4 linked regions of the Lonchura striata genome follow. The protein of the gene in region 3 purifies or fractionates together with the protein of the main gene of each other region. This does not show direct contact. Links are inferred from orthologs where the notes say so. Each region holds a gene or a part of one and is shown on either strand. Other genes may lie near its edges. The genes, in order: POLR3E, POLR2J, DNAAF10 and CCT3.

What was found.
Region 1: the proteins of DNAAF10 (region 3) and POLR3E purify together in Homo sapiens (affinity purification with mass spectrometry; 3 studies listed by BioGRID and IntAct, with this or other methods). This does not show direct contact. The link is inferred for Lonchura striata from reciprocal best matches to the Homo sapiens genes DNAAF10 and POLR3E.
Region 2: the proteins of DNAAF10 (region 3) and POLR2J purify together in Homo sapiens (affinity purification with mass spectrometry; 3 studies listed by BioGRID and IntAct, with this or other methods). This does not show direct contact. The link is inferred for Lonchura striata from reciprocal best matches to the Homo sapiens genes DNAAF10 and POLR2J.
Region 4: the proteins of DNAAF10 (region 3) and CCT3 purify together in Homo sapiens (affinity purification with mass spectrometry; 3 studies listed by BioGRID and IntAct, counting the BioPlex papers as one, with this or other methods). This does not show direct contact. The link is inferred for Lonchura striata from reciprocal best matches to the Homo sapiens genes DNAAF10 and CCT3.

What each region holds. Positions count from the first base shown.
Region 1 is NC_134618.1:10,694,540-10,701,887, reverse strand, and holds the start of POLR3E (DNA-directed RNA polymerase III subunit RPC5), read right to left. Parts: upstream 3,013-7,348; 5' UTR 2,901-3,012; intron 1-2,900. UniProt on the Homo sapiens protein: DNA-dependent RNA polymerase catalyzes the transcription of DNA into RNA using the four ribonucleoside triphosphates as substrates.
Region 2 is NC_134622.1:5,624,936-5,631,681, forward strand, and holds POLR2J (DNA-directed RNA polymerase II subunit RPB11-a), read right to left. Parts: upstream 1,768-6,746; 5' UTR 1,705-1,767; coding exon 1,652-1,704; intron 1,507-1,651; coding exon 1,417-1,506; intron 1,330-1,416; coding exon 1,155-1,329; intron 622-1,154; coding exon 586-621; 3' UTR 506-585; downstream 1-505. Other genes in the region: ras GTPase-activating protein 4, read right to left, coding at 3,008-3,126, 3,224-3,282, 3,367-3,487, 3,564-3,699, 3,798-3,935, 4,013-4,336, 4,420-4,557, 4,759-4,945 and 5 more. UniProt on the Homo sapiens protein: Core component of RNA polymerase II (Pol II), a DNA-dependent RNA polymerase which synthesizes mRNA precursors and many functional non-coding RNAs using the four ribonucleoside triphosphates as substrates.
Region 3 is NC_134605.1:2,910,379-2,918,180, reverse strand, and holds the start of DNAAF10 (dynein axonemal assembly factor 10), read left to right. Parts: upstream 1-4,801; 5' UTR 4,802-4,819; coding exon 4,820-5,011; intron 5,012-5,939; coding exon 5,940-6,040; intron 6,041-7,118; coding exon 7,119-7,249; intron 7,250-7,711; coding exon 7,712-7,802. Other genes in the region: RNA-binding protein PNO1, read right to left, coding at 368-428, 1,945-2,028, 3,803-3,952, 4,570-4,740. UniProt on the Homo sapiens protein: Key assembly factor specifically required for the stability of axonemal dynein heavy chains in cytoplasm.
Region 4 is NC_134635.1:853,371-860,657, reverse strand, and holds the start of CCT3 (T-complex protein 1 subunit gamma), read right to left. Parts: upstream 3,002-7,287; 5' UTR 2,901-3,001; coding exon 2,870-2,900; intron 1,284-2,869; coding exon 1,222-1,283; intron 712-1,221; coding exon 661-711; intron 581-660; coding exon 518-580; intron 1-517. Other genes in the region: CFAP45 (cilia- and flagella-associated protein 45), read left to right, coding at 4,607-4,707, 5,017-5,158, 5,543-5,713, 5,862-6,040, 6,175-6,304, 6,540-6,686, 6,814-6,927, 7,130-7,287. UniProt on the Homo sapiens protein: Component of the chaperonin-containing T-complex (TRiC), a molecular chaperone complex that assists the folding of actin, tubulin and other proteins upon ATP hydrolysis.

The sequences.
Region 1 (7,348 bases), on a different chromosome or scaffold from region 3:
AGCATCCATGTTACATCTACAACAATGGCATTTTTTTCAAATACTCAAGCCACCACACAATTTAGGCAGCTCAGTATATTTCAGTTGACATACAGGCTTCTCAAATATCACACTAATGTACACATAGGTATCTAAGAAACCTTTCAAAGAGGCTAGACATTCTGGATGCAAGTGTTATTAACATCCATTCAGGCTTATAGTGTTTCTGCCATTCCACCAAGAAATATAATTCCGTATTTTTCACTTACAGACTCTCTGCTACCAAAAAAGTGCCCCTCCCAATACTGAGCTGGCATTTTCCATTTCTTTATGCACCAGCATGTCCCAGGGTCTTTGTACCATACATATGTATTTAAAAATTTATGCCTCAGTATTTCAGATTCCTATCTGAAGTAATGTTGTAGAAATGCAAAACACCTTCACAGCAAAAAGCCAGTACCTTAACCACAGGCTGGACTGTGAGCAAAACCATGAGTATGTGATATCTGACTGATATCAGTGTTTTTCTGTGATCAGGCACCCAGTTCCTCCCAGAAAGACACATTAATATGTTTTAAAGAAATAAGGTTAGTCAGTTCCTTTTTTGCTTTCCCCACTCACGTCCCCAGGTGGCCCAACACCTGACAGCTCTGCAGACATGGAACAACTGCAGCTTGCACTCAGCTCAGAGCTGATGGTGGGAGGATGCCCAAGATGTGTGAGGACATGTGGCAACACCCAAAAGGTGGGACACTTGGGTCCAAACCCTCCTTCCTCACACCCCTGAGAGAACCAAGAACCACCCTTCCCTTCCTGACAGCCTGCATGCCAAGTATCTGCTAGGCTTGTTCTTTTCTGAGCAAGTTATTTCACTTCCAAGAAGAGAAAACCCTCCTGGGCTAACAGGGACAGAGAAACTCAGCCTGAAGAACCTGGTCTCTGGCCCCTCACTGAACACTGCCTATGCAATTATACACAAAATCTCCTTGGGAATCCACCTGTCACTGCTCAGGGGAAATGCTGCATTACAAAAACTACTTTTTTTTTTCTTAGTCCTGTAAAGATAAAGCATGACTACAGATACTTTTACTGGAAAATGAGACTGACACATCTATAAATAGGAAGCAGTGTGTCCCAGTACAACTTATAATACTCATGCAACCAGAAGAAATCCTCTGAATCAGAATGAAGGCATGCAGACACAATGTCTGATATATACATACATAGTGTTAATTTCCACACTTCTCATATACATATATTTACGATACCACAAGAGTTACATAATGGAATCAAACATTAAGAGACAGCAAAAATGGTCAGCAGGTTTTGGTAGAACCTTCTTGTTTTAAGGACTTTCCTTTAAGGTGCAAATCAAAGTATAATGTGAGTTATCAACTAGCAGGAGGGCAAGAGATAGAAATCTTCTCATTTCTCCTGCAAAGTGACTAATGCAAGGACCAATCCATGATACTGCTCTTTAGCTGCCAATAACACCATCAACATAGAGCCATTGAAGAAAAATTTTGTGGTTAAAAAAACTGTAAAAATGAGTGATGAAGCAACTGAATCCTACATCTCCCTCTGAGCTTTGAAGGGCATTTGAGTATTAGAGATTTAATTTTATTTACTACCAAAGACTTAAATGTAACTGCAAGAAGGTAAATTGCAAACCTGCACATCATTTGACACACATACTTTTAGTCAGGCCTGCAAGAAATGCTCCAGTATTTCATTTTTACCTAAATTTGTCAGTAATAATAGACCCCCAAAGTGCTAACACTAAAACCTGATATATTCTTCATATAATCATGCAGTGACAAAGAAAGGCCAACAACTCCTTCTGGATCAGTGCCTGAAAGTATAAATGCTGAAACGGCAGCGTGGGAAAAATGCCATTTCCTGAATCAGTACCACAACTACCTCTGGCACCCGGGCTCCTCTAGAAGGGGCTCTGAGCAACTCTCTAGCTCAGGGTGGCCCATGGCGCACAGTAAAATGGAATCTGCAAAAAGAAGCTAAAGCACCTTCCATACATTTATGGCAATTATCATTTTGACCCAATTACTTGCTTCATTTTCTCCTCGCCTGCAAGCAGCTTTGCACAGTCATCTTCTGGCAGTGAACCCAAGAGGGCTCCTCTGCACCAGGACCTCTCTCTGGAGGTGATGTCACCGAAGCAAACCTTTGGGGTTTAAGAGATTATGCACCAAGCACAAACCTTTCTTCAGCACCTCACCCCGTGTGCAGCACGGGACGTGCCAGGCCGGGGCTGCCGGGGGCAGGGGTCACTCCCGCCGCGGTGGGACGCTCCCGGGGCAGGTCGCGGTGCCCGAGCCGTGCTCCCCGCGGGCAGCGCTCCCGCCGGCCGCCCCTGGCGCCCGCCCCCTCCTGACACAGCAGCGGGGCAGGGCAGGGGGAAAGGGGAAAGGGGAAAGGGGAAAGGCCACAGCGGCCGCCCGAGCCGCCCGGACCGCGGGGACGCAGCGGATCCCCCCGGGCAGGACGGCTGGGCTGGGCTGCGGCCCCGCAGCGCCGGTGCCACGCAGGGGCAGGCGCTGCACTTCGGGGCGAGTGCGCCGAGTCCTGCCCGGGGAAGGGGCTGCGGGCCCGGCAGGACCGGCGGGGCCGCCGCTCGCAGCCCCCAGAGGAACGGCCGGCAACCCCCGGTGCTGCCGCGGCAGGCGAGGGGCCGCGGCTGCGGCCGGACCCGGCCCGGCCCCCAAGCGCCCCGGCCCGAGCCAGGTCCTGTCAGGGCGCTGCGGCCCCGCGGTGCCGGGTCCTCGCAGTGTCGGCTCCGCCGTCCTCCCCGGACAGGCAGAGCCCACCCCAGCCCAGGCCGCGCTCCTCCCTCGCCACCACCCGCAGGGTCCCCGGCGCCGGGGCGGCCCCGGGAGGCGCAAAAGCAGCGCGGCCCCGCGTACCTGTGTGCGGGCCGGGCGGCGGCGGCGGCGCCGCTCCCCCGCTCCCCGTGTCGGTGGGGCAGCGGTCAGGCAGCCGCCATGTTGGTGGCCCGCGGGCCGGCACGTGGGGACGCGGCGCCTCCTCCTACCCACAATGCTCTCCCGGCCGCCGCTGCCGCCAGGGGGCGATGGCGGCGGCCCGCGGCGCAAAAAGGAACCCGGGCTGGCAGCGGTGGGATTCGAACCCACGCCCCCGAAGAGACTGGAGCCTTAATCCAGCGCCTTAGACCGCTCGGCCACGCTACCGCCACGAGCATGCTGCCTTTTGGCAATGCTTTTACTGCACACCGGTTTGTCCCCGTCTTTCCCACCCTTCTCCTTCCCCAACAACCGCTCTGCCTACACACCCCCTCTACCCGGAAAATAAAATGCGGGGGGGTCCTTTTCAGCCCGTTCCCAAGCAGCGGCACTTGGAGCTGCGCGATGCACCCGAGCCCTCCGCGCCGCGCCCGCTGCCACGTGGATGCCACGGAGCAGCACAGCCGCCTGCGCCGTACGTGTGGCACCGCCCGGGCACCCCCTCTGAAAGCCTAAAAAAAGTTCTAAATTCTAATTGTCCGTTGCAAAGTCAGAGCTCCCTGAATTCGCAAAGTCAAAAGTCAGCAGTTTATGCCTGGGGGGTTGTTCTTTTGCGTATAGCACAGGGACCAGCACGGCAGTACTCAGTACACCTGTGCAAATGCATGGTAGCACACCTCAGCTGCTGGTGCTCCATGCACGTGCCTCTGGAAGTCTCTGGTCGCATTTTGCCTGAAAGTCTGGTGAGTTTTCGTAAAGAATTAATCTTTTTTTTCACCACTTAATTACAACTGAAGGGTTGTATTTTGAGGAAGAACTCCAGCTTCTCTATGGTAAGGCCACAAAGCCTTAATGCAGCTTGATTTAATTCTGTCCTTGTGGCAGTTCATTTAAATAGGATAGAGAAAATAAACCTGCGGGAGCCCTGCTGACAGCATCATTCAACCCTTTCCCCTGGCACCTCCCACAGCCTGTCCCTGCAGCACCCGGTGGTGCCAGCTCTCTTTCCAGGGAGCTGCTGAAATGGAAGCAGGGAATGGTTTTGTTGGGGTTGGAAGTGTCTAAAAAATGTCTGATAGTCCATCCACTAAAGTGAAAAGGGACATCTTCAACCAGATCAGGTAGCTCAGAGCCCTGTCCAACCTGACCTTGAATGTTTACAGGGATAAGGCATCCACCACCTCTCAGAGCAACCTGTGCCAGGCTTTTAGCACTCTCATTGTGAGAGGCTGAAGCACGGCACAGTCTTGCTAAAAAATTCAATTCACTGCCTACAAGTATTGAGGAATAACAGCATACACATGTAAACATGAATAAACTCCTCTAGTGCTGCTGAAGTTTCACACCCTCAGTTCAGTGCCTTTTCAGGATGTGCGGCTTTTTAAGAACAGAGCAGCAGGAGAGGTTCAGGGAGGAGAGAAGGCAGGCAGACCTGAACTGGCTTCACACAACAAATCACCTGTAACCTGCTCAAGAGAAAAGTTTTGGCAAAGAGTCAGTTTTAACAGTCTTCAAGCCTGTGTGTGTGTGCAGGAGGCTGCGTAGCACACTCATTACAAACTGTTCCTTACTGTGTGGGATGCTCAGTCCCACAGGCCCTTTTGCCCAGGCAGTGCAGGGAACTAACACCCTCCTGAAAAGTGCTTTTCTGCCCTGAGCTCAGCCTCTGTCCCTGAAGTGTTTCTGTGCCTGGCCACAGAGACATTTCTCCTGAGCACCAAAGGAAGCCTGTGTACCCAAGATTATTCACATCAGCCACGTGGGAAACAGGGGCTAAGAGCACAGGCTGTCCCTCGGGGGTGGCAGCTGGGTCACCAGTTTTTTCATTTCACCTGTGCAACATCAGTTATAATGGCAGAATCATTTCCAAATTAAAAAATAATTAACGTGAGGAGAACTCAAAATATAGGACAAGCCTCATTACTTTGTTTTCTGGCACAGGATAGCCAAGGACTAGCAAGGACCCACATATACTGGAGTATGTCAGACTCCCAGACTAAAGGCAAGGCCCAATAGCTACAAAGCCCTGAGCTGTCCCCACACAGGAGTTAAGTCCATCAGCAGGAGCAACTGAGAGATATCCCTGAACTTAAACCTGAAAATACCCTGACTCACCCCTGGCAGCATTGCCCTGCATCCGTCCTGAGAGGGTCAAATGAAATTCTGCCTCTCCAAATTCAGATGAGAAGTCCTGACTTGACCCATCGTAACTACACCTGGCTCTGTCAGCACTCATTCTACTCTGAGTGAAATTTTATCTGTGGGGAAGAGAACGAGATTCAAATCAGTCCCACAGACCAGTAATTAAGAAAAAGCCAATATACTTATTTACACTTTATAAGCTGTAAGAGTTTGCTGTCTCCATGGTTTCTGAAGAATGCTATTCTTACTTTGTTACATTTGCCAAACACTCCATCTCTGTGACAGCAGCTATATCTAAAAACTCCAAAGGCCTATAAAGCTAGAGCAGTGCCAAATTTCACCATTTTTCATCTTAGTGATTTCCACAATGCAGAGGCCCACATGGTGCTTTTTTGTTAGGAAATTCTGCTATTTCACAGTGCCCTTTCTAGAAGATAATTTCACATTGTTTAAACTACACAGGTATAAGAAGTTCCACCTGTCTAAATAAAGCAGTAAAAAGGCAACACTAAGAGCTCCATTTTTAACAGTTTGAAAGAGCCTGTTTCAAACAGGCAAGATGACAGTGTATCATTAGATATTGTATCCCACCTGAAATCATAGAGCCCAAGAATTTCCAGCCTATTCTCAGGACTAAACAAAAGCTAAAAGGATAGGGAGGCCTCCGTAGCACCCTGGACATGAGCTTTCCTGTCTTTATATTTTATCCTCCATTGGCTACAGACATATGTAATTACGTGTGTAATCAAATGTAAATCAGAGAGCACATCAACCATTTTGTTTTCTGGTGGAAAACAGATAATTTCCTCCCAGTTAGTTACTTCTGACTGTTAAAAGGGAATAAGGGAATGAAATTGGGAATAGAATAATACAAACAACAGAGAGGATTTCTGGAAGCTTGCAATAGTAGGATTGAATTTTGGCAATTTATAAAGAAAAAAAAAACAACCCAAAAGCAAATACCCACAAGCAATGAGTAACACTCTACTGAGAAAAAGTGACAAAAAGAACAATTTTATTTACTAGCCAGAATGAACCCAGACAAAGTGAATGAGAGTACTAAGTGATGCAGGCAAGAAGTATTTGCTTGTCTGACATACAAAGTCTTCCATCTCACTGTCCTTACCCAAGAAATATTCTGGCAACGCTGAGCCCAGGTAAGTCCTGGCAGGCTGAGCCTCAGATTTATTTTCACATTTTTAAAAAATACAGATTTTTATTTATTCATTGTGAATAGATTAAAAATACAGCGTAAAGCAATATAATTACAAAAAGTCTTTAAAATATACAGTTTTTTCCCTTCAAAAGAATGTCACAGACTAAGTTGCGTATATTTCTGTAAACAATTTCCATTTTCATATTATTGACAGTCCCATTTATTGTATGGCTAAATCATCTGATACATCTTAGGACAGAAGGTAGTCTTCATCACCAAAAAGTAGTATTTGCAAATAAAAAATTAATTAATTTTGCACTGAGTTGTGTGCACATTTACATACCAGATCTACACTGAGCTGTCAGCAACTTCAGCAACTACTGAATTTAGCAAATTAAACTACACCAAGAAGTGTCAATAATTACACTCTACATCCTTTGCATGCACATTTTGGACACTTTCAATCTCCTCCCTAAATGGTTAGTGGTGTGGTAACACATGCTTCCTTCTCAAGGAAAATCTTAAAGATTTGGCATCACCACCTTTTGAGGGAAGCACATCAGGGAAATCCTTCTGTCTGATTTATAGTCCCTCCACTGTATAGGTTCTGCACAAAACAGACTATTCAATTGTCTTCACCTTTCATTGACAGCTGACACCTTAATGCTATGAACTGAAATAGCAAAACAGGCCACATTCCTAGAGAGGCTTTAGGCATCTAAAGCAGAATTTTGGATAGGCACTGAAAAGATTAATATTAATTGCAGTCCTCTGGTTCTATTTCAGCATGTACAAAAAATATTAGGTCCAAAAATCTGGTCGTTTTAGTACCTCACTACCTAAGACCAGCTGAGATCTAGAAATGAGACATTCCTCCATTAATGGGTGAAGAGCTTTGCCCTCACTCTCAAAACGAAACAAAAAAGAAAGAGGCCATGGACACTACTTTCCCACAACCCCTGCTATCTACAGCAAAAAGATGTTGCCATGTGTTGCAAGGCTGCTCACCGCTACAACTGCCTGGTGGTTACAGCACCAGCCAGAAGCAGGACATCCGAGGGTAACTTTCCCTTCCCTCCTAGAAAAGATTCAA
Region 2 (6,746 bases), on a different chromosome or scaffold from region 3:
TAGTGACTGTTACCATGTGCCCATCGACCTTTTCTAGAGCAGCTTTATGTGCAAGATGGAGAAAATAAAAAAAAAAAAAAACAAAAACAAAAAAAACAAGGTAAGAGTTTGTTAAACTCATCAGTTCATTGTAAACATCCGGTTTCTTTTACTGTTAAGTTTTCACAATTTGTGCATTTGTTTTGTAGAAATCACACTTAATAAAACAAAATACCAGTTCAGCTGGCAGTGCCTGGAGTTTTTGGCAGGAAAAGCAGAGAGTTCACTGAGCAGCTTCTCATGCTGGAATTGCACCTACAAAAACCTCCCCAACAGCCCAGGACAAATATTTGCCTCAAGGCTCCAATTAGAAAACTAAAAATCACTTTAATGACTTATCTACCAAATCCAACACGATGTTTTATCCTCCTGGCAAAGTGCCTGTCTGCTATGAAAATAAAACCAGAACTCAAAATATTGCTGCTGCTGTCAAAAATTAAACAGAAGTGGGACAAGGGGAAAAATATTTGCCATGAATGGAGGTTTAAATATTTAATCCAGTAACAGACACGTCATTCTGCATCAGAAGTAACAGTCTGCTCCATTTTACTCAATTCCTTCTTGTTTGTCCTTAATAGCAACCTGTAAAGCAAAAGCAAAAATACACATGGTTAGACAAGAGTTGTTACTGAGCTGCAGGTTGGTGTTTAATAATTCCTGACTCTTCTGTGAATCACAACCCAGTGGAAATCTCTACAGCAAGCAGAATATTGAAATTAAAATCAAAACTTATTTATGAATTGGTGCCTTTTCTCAGCACATCAGAGGTACTGTTTCAGTCACAGCCTCCCTGAATTTTTCTGAGTAAGATTAAATCTCAGGATTAGGGGGCTAAATCAATAAATAAACTGAGCAGAAGCGATGAGAGGTGAAAATATGGGCTCAAAGCTTTGTCAGAAGTAGAAAAAAGAAAATAAAAATGCACTTAAGAGCAGCCAGGCTTTGACAGCAGCTGAACAACACAAGGAGGGTGGCTTGAATTAATTCACCAACCTCAAGCCAGCAGCTTTAAGACACATAAAAACAGTATAACAAGGCCAAACAAACAAATAAAAAAAAAAAAAAAATACAAGTATAACAAGGCCAAAGAGTTTTAAGGAAAACAGTGCCCTTACCCTGAACCTCTCTTCCAGCAGGGAGAGCTCACTGATCAGGTCTGTGATGGCATTGGTGAAAGCTTCCTGCGGGCTGTAATCTGGGGTGGTTTGGACACGGATGATGATTTTATGTTCCAGAGGGTGAGGGACCTTGTACCCTGCGAACAGCACCTGCGGGTCCTTGAGCAGCTGCCTGGGACGGAACAAAAACCCAACCCCGGGAAATGAAGGGCAGGAAAATCCCAAACCTCCCCGCAGTCTCCTCCCCGCTCCAACTTACGACTTGATGATGTTCCCGAGCGTGTGGTCCTCCTTGTTGATGGTGAACAGGCAGGCGTTGGGCACCTTGGTGTCCTTGTTGATGGTGATCCTGAGGTGTTACGGGATGCAGGGGTGTTAGCGATCCGTGCGCGCCAGGGCACGGCGGGGACTGGGGGGAAAGGCCCGCTTCCCCCCGCTCCCAGCCCCCCGCGCTCTGATCAGGGTTAATTACTCGCCCCCCGGTATCCCCTCACTTTTTCTCGCCCTCGAAGAGCAGGAAGGACTCGAAGGCCGGCGGCGCGTTCATCGCGCCGTTGCTATGGCGGCCGCCGCTCCGCTTCCGTTACGTCACTTCCGCCCGCTCGGGGCGCCGCGCAGCGCCCCCTGGCGGGCGGGAGGACCCGCCGCAGCAATGGCGGCGGCGCCGAGAATGGTGGTGGCCGCCTCAGAGCCACGGCCGGGAAGGGAACACACACCGGTGACACCGGCAGCGGTGTCCCCACTGGAGCACCACGGCCGTGACCAGCTGGCACCAGCAGCAGGGCCATGAGCAGAGACTCCAGGGCTGCCACCACTGCCACAGCAGGCCACCAGAGCCACCAGTGATGGCAGCAATGCTGCCAGCAACAGAACCAGCAGCAGGAGGGCCCTCAGAAATGGCACCAGCAGGGACAGCGAGCAATGGCAGCATCAGCAGCGCCACCAAGAGAACCCCCAAGCAGGCCACCAGTGGTGCCACCAGTGATGCCACCAGTGATGGCACCAGCAGGACCCTCAGAGGTGTCACTAGTGTAACTGTGAGCAGTGCCACCATCAGTAGTGCCACCAAGAGAACATCCAGCAGTGCTTTTATCAGGCCACCAGTGGTGCCACTGGCGATGCCACCAGTGATGGCACCAGCAGGACTCTCAGAGATGTCACCAGTGTACCTGTCAGCAGTGCCACCATCAGTAGCGCCACCAAGAGAACCCCCAGCAGTGCTTTTATCAGGCCACCAGTGGTGCCACTGGCGATGCCACCAGTGGTGCCACCAGTGATGCCACCAGTGATGGCACCAGAAATGGCCCCAGCAGGACTCTCAGAGATGTCACCAGTGTAACTGTCAGCAGTGCCACCATCAGTAGCGCCACCAAGAGAACCAGCAGTGCTTTTATCAGGCCACCAGTGGTGCCACTGGCGATGCCACCAGTGGTGCCACCAGTGATGCCACCAGTGATGCCACCAGAAATGGCCCCAGCAGGACTCTCAGAGATGTCACCAGTGTAACTGTCAGCAGTGCCACCCTCAGTAGCGCCACCAAGAGAACCAGCAGTGCTTTTATCAGGCCACCAGCAATGCCACAGGTGATGCCACCAGAAATGGCCCCAGCAGGACCCTCAGAGGTGGCAGCAGTGTAACTGTCAGCAGTGTCACCATCAGTAGCGCCACCAAGGGAACCCCCAGCAGTGCTTTTATCAGGCCACCAGTGGTGCCACCAGAAATGGCCTCAGAGGTGGCAGCAGTGTAACTGCGAGCAGTGGCACCAGCAGGGCTCTGGGCAGTCCCGTCCCCAGCAGACACAGGACACGGCCGCAGGGTACCAAGTGCCTTTATTGCGGGGCCGCGCTCCCTCACGTCTGCAGCCGCAGCAGGGCCGGGCCCGGCGGCGGGGGCAGCTCCCGGCGGTGGCAGCGCTCCAGCTCCCCCAGCACCGCCAGCAGCCGGCTCAGCCCCTCGGGCAGGGCAGCGTCTGCGGGACAGGGCGGGACAGGTCATCCCCACAGCCCCTGTGACCGCCGGGGACACCTCCCAAGCAGAACATCCCCAAACCCCGCACCCCAACCCACCTTCACCGCGGGGGCCGTTGCGGGCCGCCTCCGGCTCCTGCAGCTCCCAGTACTTGTCCCTGCGGAGAGGGGAGAGGGACCGGCCGTGGCAGGAGCAGCGCGGCGGCGGGGCCGGTGCGGGGGTCCCGGGGCCAGGGGCTCACCTGAGCGTCCCCCGCAGGCCCTGCAGGTGCTGGAAGAGGCGCTGCGCCTCCACCGTGGGCTCCAGCGGGTCACTCCAGTCCTGCAGGGTGACGCCGTGCCGGGTCCGGTCGCATCCCAGCCCTGCGGGGCAGCGGGGTCACCGTACCGGGGGGACAGCCCGGCACCCCCGCGGGGCTCCGGGGCCACCTCCGCGTACCTGTCCTGTCGCGCTGGTGGCAGCAGCTCCACTTGTCGCCGCGGAAGACGCCGGGGTGGTAGGAGCGGAGCACGCGGGGGTTGTTGCCGCACACCTTGCGCAGGGCTGACAGCCACTGGTTCAGCTCGTTGACACACTGCGGGGTTGGGGACAGTCGGAGGGTGCCCCCGCCGTGCCACCGCCCGCGCCGTGCCACCGCCCGCGCCGTGCCACCGCCCGCTGTCCCCGCCGCACCTTGCACTGCAGGTAAGCCGTCTCCTGCTGCCCGCCCGTGGCCATGTAGACCACCTGCATGACGTGGGAGCTGCCGAAGCTCTTCTCCTCCACCTTCTCGGCCGCCAGGATGTCGCCCAGGGCGATGGCACCGATACGCTGATGGAAGGGACACACACGGAGGGGGTCAGCGCCGCCCCGCTGCCCGCCCCCCCGCCCGCCCAGCACGCCCGTACCTCCGCACCGGGGCTCTTGCCGAAGCTCAGGGACTCCGCGGTGAGGCAGAAATGGAGTTTCTTGCCGGCGGCAGCGGCGAGCAGCGGCCCCTTGCCCCGTGTCTTGTGCACGAGGAGCATCCCCTCCTTCACCACGGCCGGCGAGGGCCCCAGCGGCCGCCCCTCGCCCTCCTCCTCGCCCTTGTCCTCCTCCGTGCCCACCAGGCGGGTGATGAAGTCCCTCATGCGGGCGGTGCCCTCCTGCAGGGCGGGCAGCAGCGGCGACAGCCACGTCTCCTTGGCGCGCCCGGCCGCCGGCTCCATGTTCCCGACCAGCTGGATGGCCTGGGGACCGCGGCGGTGGCAGCGTCACCCCCAGGAGACCCGGCCGGCACCCCAAAGGGCCGCCCCGGTGTCCCCTGTCGCACCTTGGCCAGCAGCAGCAGCGTGCGGCTGGTCCGCGCGTCCGCGTGTGCGGCCCGCAGCTGGAACAGCTTGGGGGTCATCACGGCCGGCGAGAAGAAGCGCAGGCACAGGAAGCTGGTGACAGCCACAAATTTGGCGTGCTGGGACCGCCGAGGGGTGGGGAACACACGTGAGGGTCTTTCCCAGCGTGGGACAACCCCACAAATAGCGATGCACCGGTGGCCGGGGCTGCTGCTTGCTCAAGAGGGGACCCCGCTGACCACACTGGGGACCACACGCAGAGAGCGCTGTCCCCTGGGGATGTCCCCGTTTGAGCCACGGCATCCCCCGCACAGCCCGACCTGGTGCTGCGGGAAGCGCTCCCCGACGCGCTGGAAGAGCTGGCGGAACGCGGCGCGGATCAGGGGCGGACACGCCGGCGCCGACCTGACGATGGCGTCCAGGAGCTCGCCCAGGTAGGACTGGAGGTGCTGTCGGCCCTGCTCGATCACCTCGCCCTCCGTCTGCACCCGGTGCAGCCCCGAGCACCTGCAGGCACCGTCACTGTCACCTCCAGCGCTGGGGCCACCCCTGCCCTGCCACCCCACGAGCCCCTTACCCGACGTCTTTGATCTCCACCTTGCCGGGGTCCAGCTCCACGTATTTCTTCTCCTCAAACACGCGGGTGATGGTGGGGCCCAGGACAAAGTGCAGGTATGGCATCCCTGTCACCTGCCGAGGGACCACACAGGGGACAGGGATGGGCCACAGATTTGGCATCCGATACCCCCAGGGTCACCCAGTGGATCTTCTCCAGCCTCCCAGCCCTGGGGGAAGGCACAAGCACAGCATCCCTCCCAGTTCTTCCCCTGGGAACAGCCCAGGGCCAGGAACAGCTGGGAAGAGCAGGTTTTGGGTGGTGTGGCACCTTGAGGAAGGACTCCATCGACTTTGAGGCCAGAGAGTTGCTCCGGAACAGAGTGTTGGGCTCACCTGCAAAACAGGAGAGGGTCCATGGCCTGGGGAATGGCCTCAGGTCATCCTGGGCAGCTGCAGTCATGGGGGTCATTCCTAGGGGCTGTGCCCCGTCCCCCTGGCCATTTCCATGGGGGCCATGGGGATTTCCAAACCTCAGCCCACCTGCTCCTCCACCAACCTCAGCCCATGAACTGCTGGGATGAGCCCAACAGATTGCACAGTGCGATGGCTGAGCCTCAACCATCACTCCCAAAAAAATCCCCACAAAAGGCCCTGGAGGTTTTGCAGCCCCAGGAGATGATAAGGAAGCCTCCAGGACCACTCCCCATTCCAGCCTTACAGGGCTTGGCCAGCTCCAGCTCAAAGAGCAGGTCCAGGAACTCCTTGACCAGCCCCTGGCCCAGGAAGAGTTTGACCAAGTTGATGGCGACCTCCTGCCGGCACTCGGCCGTGGTGGTTTCGTCCAGGAGGGTGACCAGGTGCACTTGGCCATCCTGGAGGGAAGAGGCACCCTAAGGTGACAGCCCGAGGCAGGCAGACACCACAGAGCTGGGAAATGTGAGTGCTCCAGCAGGGCTGGGCATGGACCCCTCACCTGGCGCCCCAACTTCACCTCCTGGCACAGGAGCTGCACCAGGGGCTGGTAGCAGTGGGAGGGAAGCACCGTCTCATCCCGGAGCTTCACCTGCAGCTGCAGCGAGCCCAGGCTGCCCCGGCGCCTGCAGGAGCACAGGGAGGGTGGGTGGGTGGGTGGAGGGGTGGATGGATGATGGATGGATGGATGGATGGATGATGGACGGATGGATGGATGGATGGATGGATGATGGATGGATGGATGGATGAATGGGTGGATGGATGGATGGATGGATGGATGGATAATGGATGGATGATGGATGGATGGATGGATGGATGGATGGATGGATAATGGATGGATGATGGATGGATGGATGGATGGATGGATGGATGGATGGATGAATGGATGGATGATGGATGGATGGATGATGGATGGATGGATGAATGGGTGGATGATGGATGGGTGGATGATGGATGGGTGGATGGGTGGATGGATGATGGGTGGATGATGGGTGGATGGAATGGGTGGATGATGGATGTATACTTCACCAAGCAGGAGGTGGCCCAACACCCCAGGCTACCCCTCCAAAATGATGATGCTTCCCAGAAAAACTCCCATCCCTCCTGAGGGCACTGGCACCACCCCCAGCACACCCCAACACCCTGTGCCAAAACTCACTCGTCCTCTGTTGGCTTGGACTTGTCTGGGCACAGCCTGAACCACCCCTCCTCCTGCCCAGCTGCTTCCAGCCCCTGGACACTGAACACCACCTGGGAGGGGAAGGCAGGAGAGGCCTGG
Region 3 (7,802 bases):
CAACTTCACTGGTCAACAGAGATCCATCTGGATTTCAGCTTTTTTTCTGGCTAGTAGTGCACCCTGCTGCCAGTGCTGACATAGGGTTTCTGGCACGCAGAATCTCCTTTAGAACTGCAGAGGAAGGCACTGCACTTCGGTTGAGGAAATGGAGTCAAAGTCACCAAGTTAACACTGACAGAAATTAAGTAGATCAGGTTTAGATCCTGTTTCACAGAGGACTCCAAGGAGTCCCAGTACTACATCAAATTAGATATTTTTTCCTGGTCATAAAAGTGATAAAATTGGAGCAGGGGGAAAAGAGAAAACAAATCCATAGTAGCAGGACACACATGACTTTGTGAATGCTGCATCAGAAAATACTCACCGTCTGTAACTTCAAATGACTCTAGAAAAAGATCGTCTAATCTGATGAGAGCAAGGGCATCCTAAAAGAGCAGGAGATCTGTTATCAGCAGTTGTTTCTTTTGTTGCTGAAAGCTGCTGTTCTCTTTATACAAACAACCTAGCAAATAACTAAACTTAAATCCACTTCTTTTCAAAAGCAATAAAAATATTTCCATCTAGAGAACCCTACAGGTTTGGATGCCCATGCATTCAGCCCTGCCTCCCCAGTGCTAGTAAATACAGGTCTAGAGCAAGGAGCAGCCTCTGCAACACTGAAAAAAGTGGGTTTGTTTCTAAACAGGCCCAGTCCTATTTAGTATCTACTGATGGTCTGGATGAGGGGATTCAGTCCACCTTTAGCAAATTTGCAGATGACAGCAAGCTGCAATTGCAAGTGTTAATCTGCTGGAGGCTAAGAGGGCTCTGCAGAGAGACTGGATAGATAAGCCTCATATTAAATCCATTACTATGAGGTTTAATAAGTCCCTGGGCCGGGTCCTACACTCTGGCCACAACAATCCCCTGCAGAGCTACAGGCTGGGGACAGAATGGCTGGACAGCAGCCAGGCAGAAAGGGAGCTGGGAGTTCAGCTGGCAGCTGGCTGAACACAAGCCAGCAGTGTACCCACATGGCCAAGGAGCAAATGGCATGCTGGCCTGTGTCAGGAACAGTGGCCAGCAGCACCAGGGAAGGAAGGCATTCTGCTCCTGTACTTGGCACTGGTGAGGCCACACCTTGAGTATCATGTCAGTACTGTTTTGGGCACACCAATTTAAGAAGGACTTTGAGATGCTCGAATGTGCCCAGAGAAGGGCAGCAAGGTGATGAAGAGTGTGGAGCAAAAGTGATGAGAAGTGATGGAGGGAGCTGGAGGGATTTAGGCTGGAGAAAAGGAGGATCAGGGGAGACCTCAGCACTGTCTAGAGCTGCCTGGAAGGAGGGTGTAGCCAGGTGGGGGTCAGCCTCTCCTCCCAGGCAACCAGCAGCAGGACAAGAGGACACAGCCTCAAGCTGCACCAGGGAAAGTTTAGGCTGGGTATTAGGAAGTTCTTCACAGAAAGAGTGACTGGACATTGGAATGGGTTTCCCAGGGAGCTGGTAGAGTCACCATCCCTGGAGGTGTTTAAAAAACGACTGGATGTGGCACTCAGTGCCCTGGTTTAGTTGATAAAGTCATAGCTTGAACTTGATGATCTCCAAGGTCTTTTCTGACCTAGTTAATTCTGTGATTCTGTGAGTTTTGCACAGACTGGAGGTTATTGGCTTGGGCTTAAGAAAAATGAGCAGAGTCTACCAATGCAGAGGACCTCAGAGAGAGGATATTGCTTTATGCTTGCCTATGTTCTCTGTTTACGTGCTGTTTGACGGCTACTTTTTTATCCAGCATTATCTTAAGTAACTGGATGTCTACTCCAGTCACAATTCTAGAAAACATTGATTTCTAGAAAACCACCTAAGGATTTTTCTCTTTATTTCTTACTGAAATTTGCAGAGAGGCCAGGGACAGATCAGTAAAGTGGAGCAATCTCTCACAATCTGGTTGTTGGGAGACTCACCTCTACTTGAAATCCAAGTATGAAGGCTTTCACAAAATCAGCTGCTTTCGTCAGAGCACTGAGATCCTTTGTCTCTTGACAAGTCTGCAAGACAAGAAGTTATGTTTGCAAATTAAGACCAGGCAAGTTAGGAGCAGAACTTAGAAGTGATCAGCCTGTGCTTGGAGGGGAGAGAAAAGCTGCTGAAAATCCACACCACCACTGACTGAGTAGAACTCTTGGTGGAGAAAACCCAAAACCAACACAAACTAAACTCCAGCAGCAAACAGCAGGAAAAAGAGAAGGATGGTGATGGCAGGAGAGTTATTCTAATGACAATATTCTAAATATGCCTTAGCAGGTGAATGAAATTAATTTCAAAGTTTTATATTCATGATAGATATGGGCAAAATGAAATCAGTGAATCGTATGTCAAAACTTTAGATATGCCCTTAAAAACTCTTGGTGTGAACATTCCTCAGGAGGAATAAGGATAAAGAATGAGCATCTACAAGATTTACAGGTTTATACTGCTGTCTGTGCCCTAAGGTATTCCAGTGCAATCCATTAAAGAAAAAGCACATGCTATTAAACTATGAGCCCTTATCATCTGCCACAAACAAAGGCAGGAGGAGATTCAGTGCCCCCATGTAAGATACTGTTTACTGTCAGGTCAATATTTGGTAACCTTAAATAGCCAGAAAACATTGAATTACAAAGTCATATCTAAGACATGGATGAAAATTCTTCTTAATGTACACAACTTTCTATAGTACATAACTTTCTCCTACAAAAACAGAACACTCTCCCAGCTTCTGCTGGCTCCTTCTGGAACAGATTTGGATTTTACTTGCACTAACTACTAAGCAATCATTTTCAGATTTTGGTCCCCAGGGAGGTGACACCACACAGTTTCCATTTTTCCAAGCATTATGTGGGATTTACGACTTCTCTAGTCTTTACCCTGCGGACCAAGAACACACATGAGGAGAGGCACTGCTTTTCAGGAGGCAGAATTGTTATAAGTGAAAGATCCAATTTATTAATTTAAGAAAATCTATTAAATGCATCAAATATAAATTTATAGAATAACAAAAAAAAAAAAAAACAAAAAAAGAAAAGCCATTATAAAAAAAAAAGGTCAGTGGTGAGCCCGGGTGTTGGCGCTGAGTGAGACACAGGTTTGACTGCTGCAGTAGAAGGTTTCCTATGCTCCCAGAATTTGGTATTGAGATGTATCTCCCTGATGGCTCTGGCTATCTCAATTTCGGATATTTATCACATATTTATCGTCCGGGTGTTCCTTGGACCACCTTGATGGGTGATCCATCTCCGGGCTGGCCACGTTCAATTGCTTGTGAATGGAGTCCTCCCTCTTCTGTCCAGGTGGTTTTGACATTGTTTTGCAATCCTTGTTGCTGGCTTGAGTTTTAAAAACTTCTTGTAAGACTATATCTTAACATTTATAATTATAAAATATACGACAATTTTATTTGCACAAATTATCACATGTAACAGAATCAGAGAATGGTAAGGGGTTGGAGTGGACCGTAAAACCACCTAGTCCCAACCCCCTGCCACGGGCAGGGACAATGTCTCTAAACCAGGCTGCTCAAAGCCTTATCCAGCCTGCTTTGAACAGGGCTGGGGTAGTCCCGGGCAACCTGTCCCAGCGTCTCACCACTCTCACAGTAAAACAAGTCTTCCCAACATCTCCAAACTAAACTTCCCCTCTTTCAATTTGTAAACGTGACTCCTTGTCCTGTCACAAACAGCCCCTCTCCAGCTCCCCTGGAGCCCCTTCACACAGGGAAGGAGCTGCGAGCTCTAACACAACCTTTTCCCACCGGGGAAAGCCCCAAGGAGCCGCTCCCCTTACCTTGATCTCAACATTCCTCGTTTTCAAGTTGAACCTGATCTGAAGCTGCAGATGCTCCACAATGGGCGTGAATATCTTCATCCAGTTCTCCTTGAGCGGCGTGTACCTGTTGGCCGGCACGGGGATCTTCCTCAGCTCGCCTTTCCCAACCTGCGGGGGGGCGAGACACAGCCGGCCGTGAGTCGGGGCCGGGGGGCGGCGGACACGCGGGGCCGGCGGGCGGACACCCGGAGCCGGACACGCGGGGCTGGAAGCCGGACACGCGGGGCTGGAAGCCGGACACGCGGGGCTGGAAGCCGGACACCCGGGGCCGGGAGCCGGACACCCGGGGCCGGGAGCCGGACACGCGGGGCTGGAGGCCGGACACGCGGGGCCGGACACCCGGGGCCGGGGGGCGGACACCCGGGGCCGGGAGCCGGACACGCGGGGCCGGCAGGCGGACACCCGGGGCCGGCGGCCGGACATGCGGGGCCGGGGGGCGGACACGCGGGGCTGGAAGCCGGACACGCGGGGCCGGCAGGCGGACACGCGGGGCCGGACACCTGGGGCCGGGGGGCGGACACGCGGGGCTGGAAGCCGGACACGCGGGGCCGGCGGGGGGACACCCGGGGCCGGGGGGCGGACACGCGGGGCTGGAAGCCGAACACGCGGGGCCGGCGGGCGGACACGCGGGGCCGGGAGCCGGACACCCGGGGCCGGGAGCCGGACACCCGGGGCCGGGAGCCGGACACGCGTGGCCGGCCGGAGTTTCCCCTCGCCCCGCGTACCCCGAGCGCCTCGGCGGGCACGGGCGGGAATGCCGGCCGCTTGCTGGGTCGCGGCTCCGCCGTGTCCATGGCAGCTGCCGCCGCCCGCTCGCCGCCCGCCCGCCGCTTCCTGCGGCTGCGGCGGGACACGACGCTGGTGAAGCCGCCGGCCGCGGGCTCGCCGCTCTCCATGCCGAGCCGGACGTGGTGCGGCTGTCGGCGGAAGGGGGCGGCGAGTGTTTCCGCCGGCAGCCGGCGGGGAAGGGGAGGGATGTCGGCGGTGCTGGGAGCGGAGCGGCCGCAGGTGGTGTCGCACGTCCAGCAGGCGCTGAGCTACACCGTGTTCGACTGCAAGTGGGTGCCGCGCAGCGCCCGGCTGCTGTGCCTGGGCAGCGCCGCCCGCGGCACCGGCGTGCTGCAGCTGTACGAGCTGAACGGAGCGCGGCTGCAGCTGCTGCGGGAGGTGAGCGCCGGCTCCCTCGGGACCGGCTCGTCCCCAGCCCCGGCGGTGAAAACGCAGGAGCCGACCCGCGTGTTGAACGCCCCGGGATGCGCTGAGCGCTCCCCGCAGCTCCCCGGAGGGGCGTGCCGGGTGGGAGCCTGACTCTTCTCCCCGGCAACTACAGCCGCGGAGGTTTCCATTGGCTTTGGGAAGGATTTCCGCACGGAAGGGGGGATTAGACATTGGAATGGGCTGCCCAGGGAGGTGATGGAGTCACCGTCCCCGGAGATGTTGAAGGAAAGGCTGGATTTGGCACTCGGTGCCTTGGTTTAGTTGGCAAGGTAGTGGCCGGTGCTAGGTTGGACTCGACCATCTCAAGGCTCTTTTTCAGCCCAACTGAGCCTGTGGTTCTGCGATTTTGTTTACTGCTGTGTTTTGTAGGTTGTTTTTATGTGTTTTGTTATGGTTTTTTATGTGTTGTGTTATATGAGTTATTGCCTGAGTTTGTTTTTTGGGTTTTTTTTGTGTTCTTTCGTTTGTTTGGGTTTATTTTTTTATTCGTTGTTGGAGTTTGGTTGGATTTTTGATTGGGTTTTGGGGTTGTTTTTGTATGTTTGCTTGCTTGCTTGTTTGTTTCTTTGGTTGATTTTTTTCTCCGAGATTGACCTTTGAGTGTTCACTTCTGAGGCTAAACAGTTCCTCAGGTGCATAACGCCCACTAGGCTACAAGCAAAATATTTGCTTTAGACCAGCAACCTGGACCCTCTGCTTTTCTGTGCACAAGGACTGAACTCAAACTTGCCTTCAATAGCATTTTATTAGTATTTTGCACCAAATATCCCCTTGTGTTTCGCTGACACTTGCCCCAGTGCACTCCTAAGATCCGCGTAGCCTGTGGATGATTTTGCCTTTTCCGTGTGCTGACACAGACATTTCCTTTCTTTAAAAGATTGAAAAGCCCAAACCTATAAAATGTGGGACTTTTGGTGCTACATCTCTGCAGCAAAGATACTTAGCTACAGGAGATTTCGATGGAAACCTTAACATATGGTAAGCACAGATATTCTCTGGAAGCGTTTTCACTTGATGTTGTCCATGTCTGTCTGAACAGAGGTTTCTGTTTGTGGATTTTTGCATGAGATGCTCTCCATGCTGCCCGTGGTTGGGACCCAGTGCAAGCTTTGCTGGCTACTGTATTTGAACCATGCCTGTTTTGTAGAAAAAACACAGAATTCTGCATTATTGTTTAATTCAGTCCTGCTTCACTCCCATCTTCTTTGTGCAGCTACAAAAACCTGATAAAGTTCTGGGAGGTTGTCCTCTGAAAAGAGGGTTTTAAATGGATGCATGAGTACAAACAAGAGGTTGTGTTCAACCTAAATTTCCTGTCTAGATTAAATATATCTTTTTAATCTTGACATATCAAATGTTTCCTCTAGGTCCCTGAATTATTGGTGTAATTAATATCTAGGTAAATTTATGATCAAATTAAGTAGTAGTGTCAAAAGGAGATTTTTTTATTACCATCATTATTATATTGCCCTGTGTCAAGGAACTACTGGTTCTTGTTGGAATAGCAAGAATTACATGGACAGTTACTAGCTGAAATGTAAAATAAAATTCTGAAAGATTCTCAAAGAATGGGAATCTGTGGGAAAGAACCATGAAACTTATGGCTGGATACAACAATATTCACTGAAGTTAGAGAGCAGTAGTCAGAGCTAGGTGGGGATCAATGAATCAAGTTATTTTATAGACCTACTGAAAGTACAGATACTTCTGTACTTCTTTCAGGTCTATGTACTTTTTACAGAGTATCTTGATCTGTAGTGTGATTCATTTTTGAGCCCAGCGTGTAAAACTGGCTCTGAGTGGCTGCTGTGGTGAATCCCACAACTGCCTTTACAAACAGGGAGGTCCAGAACAGAGCAAAATCTTTTGGAGCAGTCCAATGTAGTAGCCAAAGAAGGAATCAAAGACTCGTGGTTCTTGGTGGTGATATCCATATTTGTTCTCACTGTTAATCTGAGCTTTTATGATTTGTGCTCAAGTTTCCTTTCATTTTTATACAAATCCTGAGTGTCAAGGAAAAATGCCATGTTTTCTGTTCTTTTTCTTTCTTGCCTAGGAATTTAGAAGCTCCTGAAATACCAGTGTATTCTGTGAAAGGTCATAAGGAAATCATAAACAGTATAGATGGTGTAGGTGGCTTAGGAATTGGGGAAGGTGCACCAGAAATTGTGACTGGCAGTCGAGATGGTGAGTTAGTGAACTCTGCAAGTCTTCCCAGTTCCTCTGAGCCTGCAAGCTCTTGATGGCAGGGCACAGTCTGCCATCTGAACTAGTTACAAGCTGTTGCAACTAGTTCTTTGCACACTGTCTCTTGAATCTTGCTTGGGACTGATTTTCCCTAATTCTTCTAGAGCCACAGATAAGCAAAAGGTACTGTTGTCACTGGTCGTGAGACAGAAGGAACACAAACCATGATAAATGCAAAATATCAGCTAGAGAAAATGCATCCTTAACAAATGCTTTCACTCTGTTTCTGTTTGGTTTTGTGGTTTTTTTCTTATATCCACAAAACAAAGTGAGGCTTGCTAGAATTGAAAGAGATGCTACTGTCTTTTGAATGATTAGGATGGAAAGCAAAGGGCTTTTCTAGGAAGGTGAACACAGTATGACTGTATTCCTAATAGAAAATCTATTGTCTTTCTTTCCCAGGAACTGTGAAGGTGTGGGACCCAAGGCAGAATGACATTCCCGTGGCTAATATGGAATCTGTACAGGGAGAGAGCAAAAGAGACTGCTGGAC
Region 4 (7,287 bases), on a different chromosome or scaffold from region 3:
TCAATGGAACACATACCACACCTTTAATACAATCAACAGCATTCTGTCCAACAACAGCAAGGCTTTCTTCCTTTTTGAGACCAAAACCAAACCCTTGTATTTGACAGTATTGTGCCTCTTCATTGTTTTTCAGGCATTTCAGTTTTTAGGATGTTTTTTTACCAGCTCTTGCACCAGACAGACAATAATGATTTCTAGGTCTTGTCATGTGGCATTGTGAACACCATCTATTCAAAAGGTCTCAATGCAGCTGCTAATAGCTCCAATTACCAAAGAATTTGCATCAGTCTTGTAAACACTCCATGAAAACATCCCACTCTAGGATCAAACCTACATTTCCGCAGAGCAAGAATACTTGCCGAATATGTTTCTCTGCAGTGAGAACCTTTCTTGGAGCAGCTGGCTAGCACTTACTGGCTGTCAGGACAGGTGGGGAGATCACACAGCTCCACTGTCACTCAAGATTCAGGCACATACTGACACTATTAAGCAAGAAAATCCTTTAGGAGAAACTTACTTCTCTAAGAATAGCATTGCCATCGTTGGTCATCACAATCCCACCCATGGGGTCCAAAAGCATCTGCAACCACAAGAGAACCAACACTTGATTGCTCTGTCCCATGGGTCTCACTTCTAGTCAGCTGCAGCACAAATTCTTACCTTCATCATTGCTCTTGGTCCTAAACATGTTCGGATAATGTCAGCAATAGTCTAGGAGGAAACAAAGAAATGAGGTAATACAGGAGGGCATCAAAAAATCTAAAAAACTCCCATAGTGAAATCAACAGCCCCTGCAAAATTTAAGTCATCCAACAACTCTGCTGTGGTTGACATGCCATGGTTAAGAATTGTATGGAAATGAGAATATGCGGATTATCAAGACACTGGAACCACACTAAATTACTATCTCAGTCAGATGTCAAAATAGAGGCACTTTCAGACTTTGTGGAGAAAGGGGGTTTGGATGGCTAAATCCCTCCATGGTTATTGACAGGGTACCCATTACATGAACAATGCAGACATTTCGGTTTTATACAGAATTTTTATGTACTAGTATAAAAATCTTCTGCTAACATATAAAGTTATTTTCTATGTTGCTTCTTCTTCTACCCTATATTCATATCAAATAGAAAAAATGTGCTTCACATTCAGTTTGTCCCTCTTTAATACATAAATACACACACACACACAGAGAATCAGAACAGCTTGAGAATTTGGTACCTTTGCAGCAGTGATGTTTCCTGTCTGGACTTTTCTTCCAGACTCACGTTTTGTATTCTGACCTAAAGGATACAGAAAAAATAAAATGTATCAAGTACAATCAAGTACAAAACAACAAGGATGCAGTCACCTCTCAGTCACGCATTCAACATGTGACTGGTTTGAAATTCAAAGTTTACAATACAAATACTGCAGTCATGATAGATTGATAGACATTGATGGAAAACTGTCAGTGAAAAACAACATTCCCTATTATAACAGAGCTCCTTGTTAGCATCCTGAGACAAAGCTTTGCAACCCTGAAACAGGACCTATTACCTCAGAAAATCAAACTGCAGTGACTCACTAGGATCTGCCAGATCTCACAAAGCCAAGGAGCTGCTATTGTACAGTGGTCTTCAGTCAAAAAATGGTTACAGAGGCTCATGTACAGTAAGCAGAATTGGGTGAACATAAAGTTAATCCACTGGTGTTACTTTGGCACATGAGGGTGAGCAGCAGTTGGGGTACCAAAAGGCTCACAAGTGCTGCTGAAGACCAGCTGTCAACAAACTGAGCTCTAGGGCATATCTAGGCTCAAGGATGCTTTTCTGCTATTACAAGCCTGGCTTGAGCATGCCCAGATTTATTTAGGAGTGATGCATGTGCACAAGGAAGTGTAAGATAGAACAAAAGGAAACAACACCTTATAAGAGCAGCACCACGACTCAGGCAAGCAGGCTTATAGAAAAGGGGCGTGGGCTACGACAGTCTGCCTGTTGGGTTACTAGAGAACAGAATGGATGGAGAAGAGAATGAGATACCCGAACAGAAAAAAAGAAAACCTGGGAATACCTCATGTTGGTGGACAGTGAGAGAATCACAGAATGATCTGGGTTGGAGGGGACCTGAAAGACCCTTTCATGGGCAGGGCATGGGGTCCAAGCTCTGTCCAATCTGGCCTTGGACATTTCCAGGGATGGGGAAGCCACAACTTCTCTGCGCATTGTGTGCCAAGGCCTCACCACCATCACAAAGAATTTCTTCCCACCATCTCACCTAACCCTGCCCTCTGGAAGTGGGAAACCATCCCCTCCTATCTATCACTACAGGCCCCTACCTAAAGTCCCTTTCCAGCCCTCTTGGAGCCCCTTTAGACCCTGGAAGGAGCTCTAAGGTCCCCCTGGAGCCTTCTCCAAGCTCAAAACCCTCAGCTCTGCCAGCCTGTCTCCAGAGCGGAGGGGCTTCAGCCCTCGGAGCATCTCCGTGGACACGTCCAGACCCGCTCCAGCAGCTCTGGAGGCCCAAGAATTTGGGTTCACACGGGGCTGAAATGGGGCACTACAAAGCAATGTGCTGAGAAAGACGCGAGACCAGCCGAGAGCACGGAAGGCTGCCAGGAAAGGTCTGAGCGCAGCGGGGCTCCGAGATGGGAGCTATCAAGGGGAGCTGGGGCCGCGCCGGGGCCGGCAGCGATACTCAGCGGATCCCCGGCGGGACGGGGCCCCGGCCGGTACGGGCCGTGAGACGGCGCCCGGCCATGAGGAGACCCAACATGGCGGCGAGTCAGGCGAGCGGCAAAGCGGGGCGGCGCTCCGAACCCCCGGCCATTCCCTCGCCCTCCGTGCCGGCAGTCCGGGCCGGGCCGGGCCGGGCCGGCGGAACTTACTGAGAACCAGGACGGGGCGCGGGCCCATCATCGCGGCGGCTGGAGCGCGGCGGAACCTTCTGGAGCCTCGCAGCGCCGCCGCCCCGCGCACCGCCCCCCCCCCACCGCGGGCAATGGCGCCTGAGCGCGGCGCCCAATCAGGGCCGCGCCCGGCGCCTTCGGCAGGGAAGTGACGCCAGGCGCAGGGGCGGGGCCTCCAGGGGCTCCGCACGGGCGCCGAGGGGACGGGAGGGGAGGGGAAAGGAGGAGCCGTGCACAGCCCCGGAGGAGAGGCGGCGGGCACCGTGGGGCCGACTTGGACTGGACATTTCGCTGCCGCGTCTCCGTTCCATCCGGGAGGCACAGGGTCCGAGATGCCACGGGCGACCTCGACTCCTAAAGGCAGAGCTCAGTGACCCCCCCACCCTCGGTCATCAGGGTGGTCTCGCCCAGTCCGCACTGCAGGAGCCCAGAGAAGGACGGACGGTGAGGCGGCCCCGCCCGTCCGGCAGCGCAGGCCGTGCCCGTGTCTTGCCAGGTCCTCTGACCCCTCCGGACTCCCCCAAACTGCCTTAACCCCGCCCCGGGTAGCCGTCCCCCCGCCAGTTTTGTCCAGACCAAAGTATTTTATTTTATTTTATTTTATTTTATTTTATTTTATTTTATTTATTTTATTTTATTTTATTTTATTTTTATTATTTGGCTGGCGCCGCCCCCACCCTACCGCCCCGCAGCCCCCCCAGCGTGTTGGGGGAGCAACCCCTGTGCCCCAATAAACGGATCCTCTTCTTTCCGGGCCTGGCTGGTCGTGATTTGGGGCTGGGGGAGGGCAGGGGGCTCCTGCTGGGTTACAAGGGGGGGACCCCGATCTGGGGGAAGCGGCGACCCCACGGCCACGCGGAGGGGCGGGGCCACGACAAAGCGGCGGGGTCAGAAGGGGCGGGGCGGGGCAGTGAGAGGGGCGGGGCTGCGGTGGAGGGGCAGAACTGAGCTGGGGCGGGGCAAAGGCAGGGGGCGGGGCGTAGGGCGGGGCGGGGCCGTCGCTGGTGACTCTTCGGCGACCCCCAGGGCCGGGGGTCGCGTGTGTTGTGTCCCTGTAGGGGCTCTAAGGAGGTCGGTGCAAGGAGGGCACCACACGGGACAGGGGTGGGCACGCTGGGTGACACAGCTGCGCCAAGCCCCGCCTCTTTCAGACCAAGCCCCGCTCCTCCTGCCTGAGGCACCACGCCTAATTCCCCGCCCCGGCCCGTTCCCGGACACTGCGAGCTGTTGGGGCATTGCCATGGCTACAGTCGGTCCTGACAAATCGTGGCAGTGGCTTTGGACAGGAATACAGTCGGAGCAGACACATCCCAGCCGTCGGTTCCACCACATTGTGACGGTCGGCTCCAGGACAACAGGACAGCACCGACAGCCCCGGCGGTGGCAGTGTGATGGGAGCCGCAACTGCCGGCGCAGGATCTCGGTCCCTCCGAGCCCGCCGCCTCCCGCTTCCACCGCTGGGATTTCAGGCCGTCCGTCCCGATGTCTCCCCCGGGCTCCCCAGCCCCCCCCACACCCGCAGGATGTCCAGCTCCTCAGGCTGACCCCCGGCCCCTCTGTCCCCTCCGGCGTGCCCCCGACACCCCGCGGCTAATCCCGGCAGAGGGCCCAGAGCTCCTGCCAGGATCCGTCAGTGTCCGGGGAGCACCAGGTAGGGGGAGGGGTCCCTCAAACTTTTCTTTTCTGCAGGTCACGGGCTCCAGCGACCCTGTCGTGATGTCTCAGACTGTGTTAAAACATGCTCAAGAGCTGCCCTCCTTCAAGCCCAAGCTCAAGACCATCCAAGTCATCACCAAGGACCTGATCCGGGAGCTCATGTAAAGCTGTGCCCAAGCCCTGAGGGTTTTGGGGGAATGGGTGTTCAGTGCAGCATTCCAAAATCTCTGGGATTGGCAGTATGCCCTGGCCACCCCCAGGGATGCTGCCCCCTGCATCCCAGCCTGGTGCCACTTTCACCACACTTTCCCTTCCTGCCTCACCCCAAAACAAGACAGCCAGGTCCCCATGGCTTCCCCAGCACTTCCCAAATCGATCTGGGCTGGCTTGGTGGCTGAGTGGGCAGCTCAGGGAGCACAGGGAGCTGTTGCCATCTCCATGCCACTGAGCTCTCTCCCTGGGCTCCCCAGCATTCCCCAGGAGAGGCCCAAACCATCTCTCATCGTTGGAGAAAAGGAATACGAGAGGATCAAGGAATCAGCTCGAGCCCCGACTGAGGTGGAGCACTGGGACAGGCTGAAGACCCTGAGAGCCAGACAGGACACAGCTTTTGTAGGCATTTCCCTTCCTGCTTCCCCTTTTCCTGCTCCACAGCTGGGTTTGAGGGGTGGTGGCTCCTGCAGGGGACCCTCCCTCTGTCCGCCACATTTTGGGGCATAGGGGAGGCTGCAGGGCTCAGGGCTCCACTGAGAGCTGGGCAGCATCCCTGAAATTATGCCCAGCACTGCCAGCATCCCTGAAATTATGCCCAGCACTGCCAGCCTTCCAAAGGCACAGGATATCTGCTCAGAGGTGTGGGGAGGGGTGCCCATGGCTGTGGCAGGGCCCCACGAGCCCGACATGTCCCCACTCAGTGCTGGGAATGCAGCACCTGAAGTGTGACCCCTGCGGGCCCTCGAGGTGTCCAGGATTGGGCAGTGCTGTCTGTCCCTGCAGGAAGCCCTGAAAAAGGCCCAGATTGAGGAGCAGAGAAAGGCAGAACTGGAAGACAAGAGGGACCATCGGAGAGATGTGGAGGAGGAGCTGCAGCAGGAGGAGCAGAAGCTGCTGCAGCGGGCGGCAAGGATGAGGTTGGAGCAGGAGGAAGACGTGCGGGAACTGAACGCGGTAGGGCCAGTGCTCCCCGCTGTCACCTGGCACTGCCTGAGCCTTCCCTGCTCCTCGTGCTCCCAGGCTCTTCCTCTCCTTCCCTGGCCCTCCCTGCTCCCTGTATCCCAGTGCATCTCCGAGCCACAGACCCCTCTTGTCCCCGCAGCTGTTCCTCAATGCCAAGTGCAACATGATCCGGGACAAGCAAGTCCTGGAGAAGCGGATGATCCACAAGGAACTGGTGGAGGAGGAGAAGCGCCTGGACAAAATGATGGAAATGGAGCGGGAGAAGGGCATGGAGGTCCAGGAGGAGCTGGAGCGCCAGAGGAAGCAGGAGCTGATAAGGTGGGCAGAAGGCTCCCTCTTCCCCATGGAGGCATCTGGCCCATTCCAACCACACCAGCCCCGTCCATGCCAGCGTTCCCACGATGGGGAGCAGGATGGAGCCAGAGGAAACCCTTCTGCTCTCATATTCCCAGAGCCCGGCATGACATTGTGAAACAGATGGAGCAGAGGGCAGAGGAGCAGGCATTGAGGGCTGAGGAGCTGTACCAGGAGGGCCAGAGGCAGCTGGAGCGACTGGAGCAGATGAAGAGGGAGGATCGGAAGGTGGGAGCAGAGAAGAGGGGGGTGCAGTGAAGTTTCCACCTGGCTGGAAAGATTATTGGCAGAGCTGGATCAGCCACACCCAGGGAATAGGGACATCAGCCAGCAGGCTCAGAGCTCTGGTCCCTTGGGGACATTGTGACATCCCAGGGAGGTGGCCCAAAGCCTGCCTGTCCTGAGTGAGGAGGAGGAAGGACCACTCAGCTTGGTGGTCTCCAACCCTGCCTGGCATTTCCAGGCCTGGGAGCAGAAACAGGAGCGACTAAAGCAAATCCATGCAGATATTAAATGTTTCAACGTGGAGAGCCAGAGACTGAAGGATCAACAGCGGGAACAGGACAGGCTGGAGGATGAGCAAGTGCTGAAGCAGCAGCGGCAGAAGGCTGTAAGAGCAGCGGGCTCCTGGTGGGGTGGGCAGGGGCTGCAGGAGCTGTCCTGGGGCTCTGTCTCATCCCAGGGTTCTGTCCCACACTCTGGGACTCTGTCCCATCCCGGGTCTCTGTCCCCCATAGGAGCGTGAGGCCACCTTGGAGGCAAAGCAGCAACAACTGCGCCTGGAGAAGGAAAAGGAGCTGGCCCAGCTCAGGGCCACACAGCAGCGGGCCCAGGACTGGCAGGCAGAGCAGGTGAGTGGCCCAGGCACAGGTGACATGCTCCCCTGCCACCGTCCCTGTCATCACCCCAGCACCCCTGGATGTGGGGGGTCTGCAGGACCAGCCCCTGGAGCCAGGGGATGTCCTGGAGCGGTGCTGGCAGAGCCAAAGCCACGGCCAAGGGCTTCCATAGCTGCCCCTGAGGGGAGCCCAGCACTGTCCCCTATTTGGGCAGGATGCTCTGAGGGCCAAGAGGAACCAAGAGGTCGCAGACCGGGAATGGCGGCGGCGGGAGCTGGAGAAGGCACGGAAGAAGGCTGAGCTGGCGCAGCAGCTGAAGCAGGACTGGCTGGAGCAGGTGGCCCAGAAGGAGCAGTACCTGGCCATGCAGGT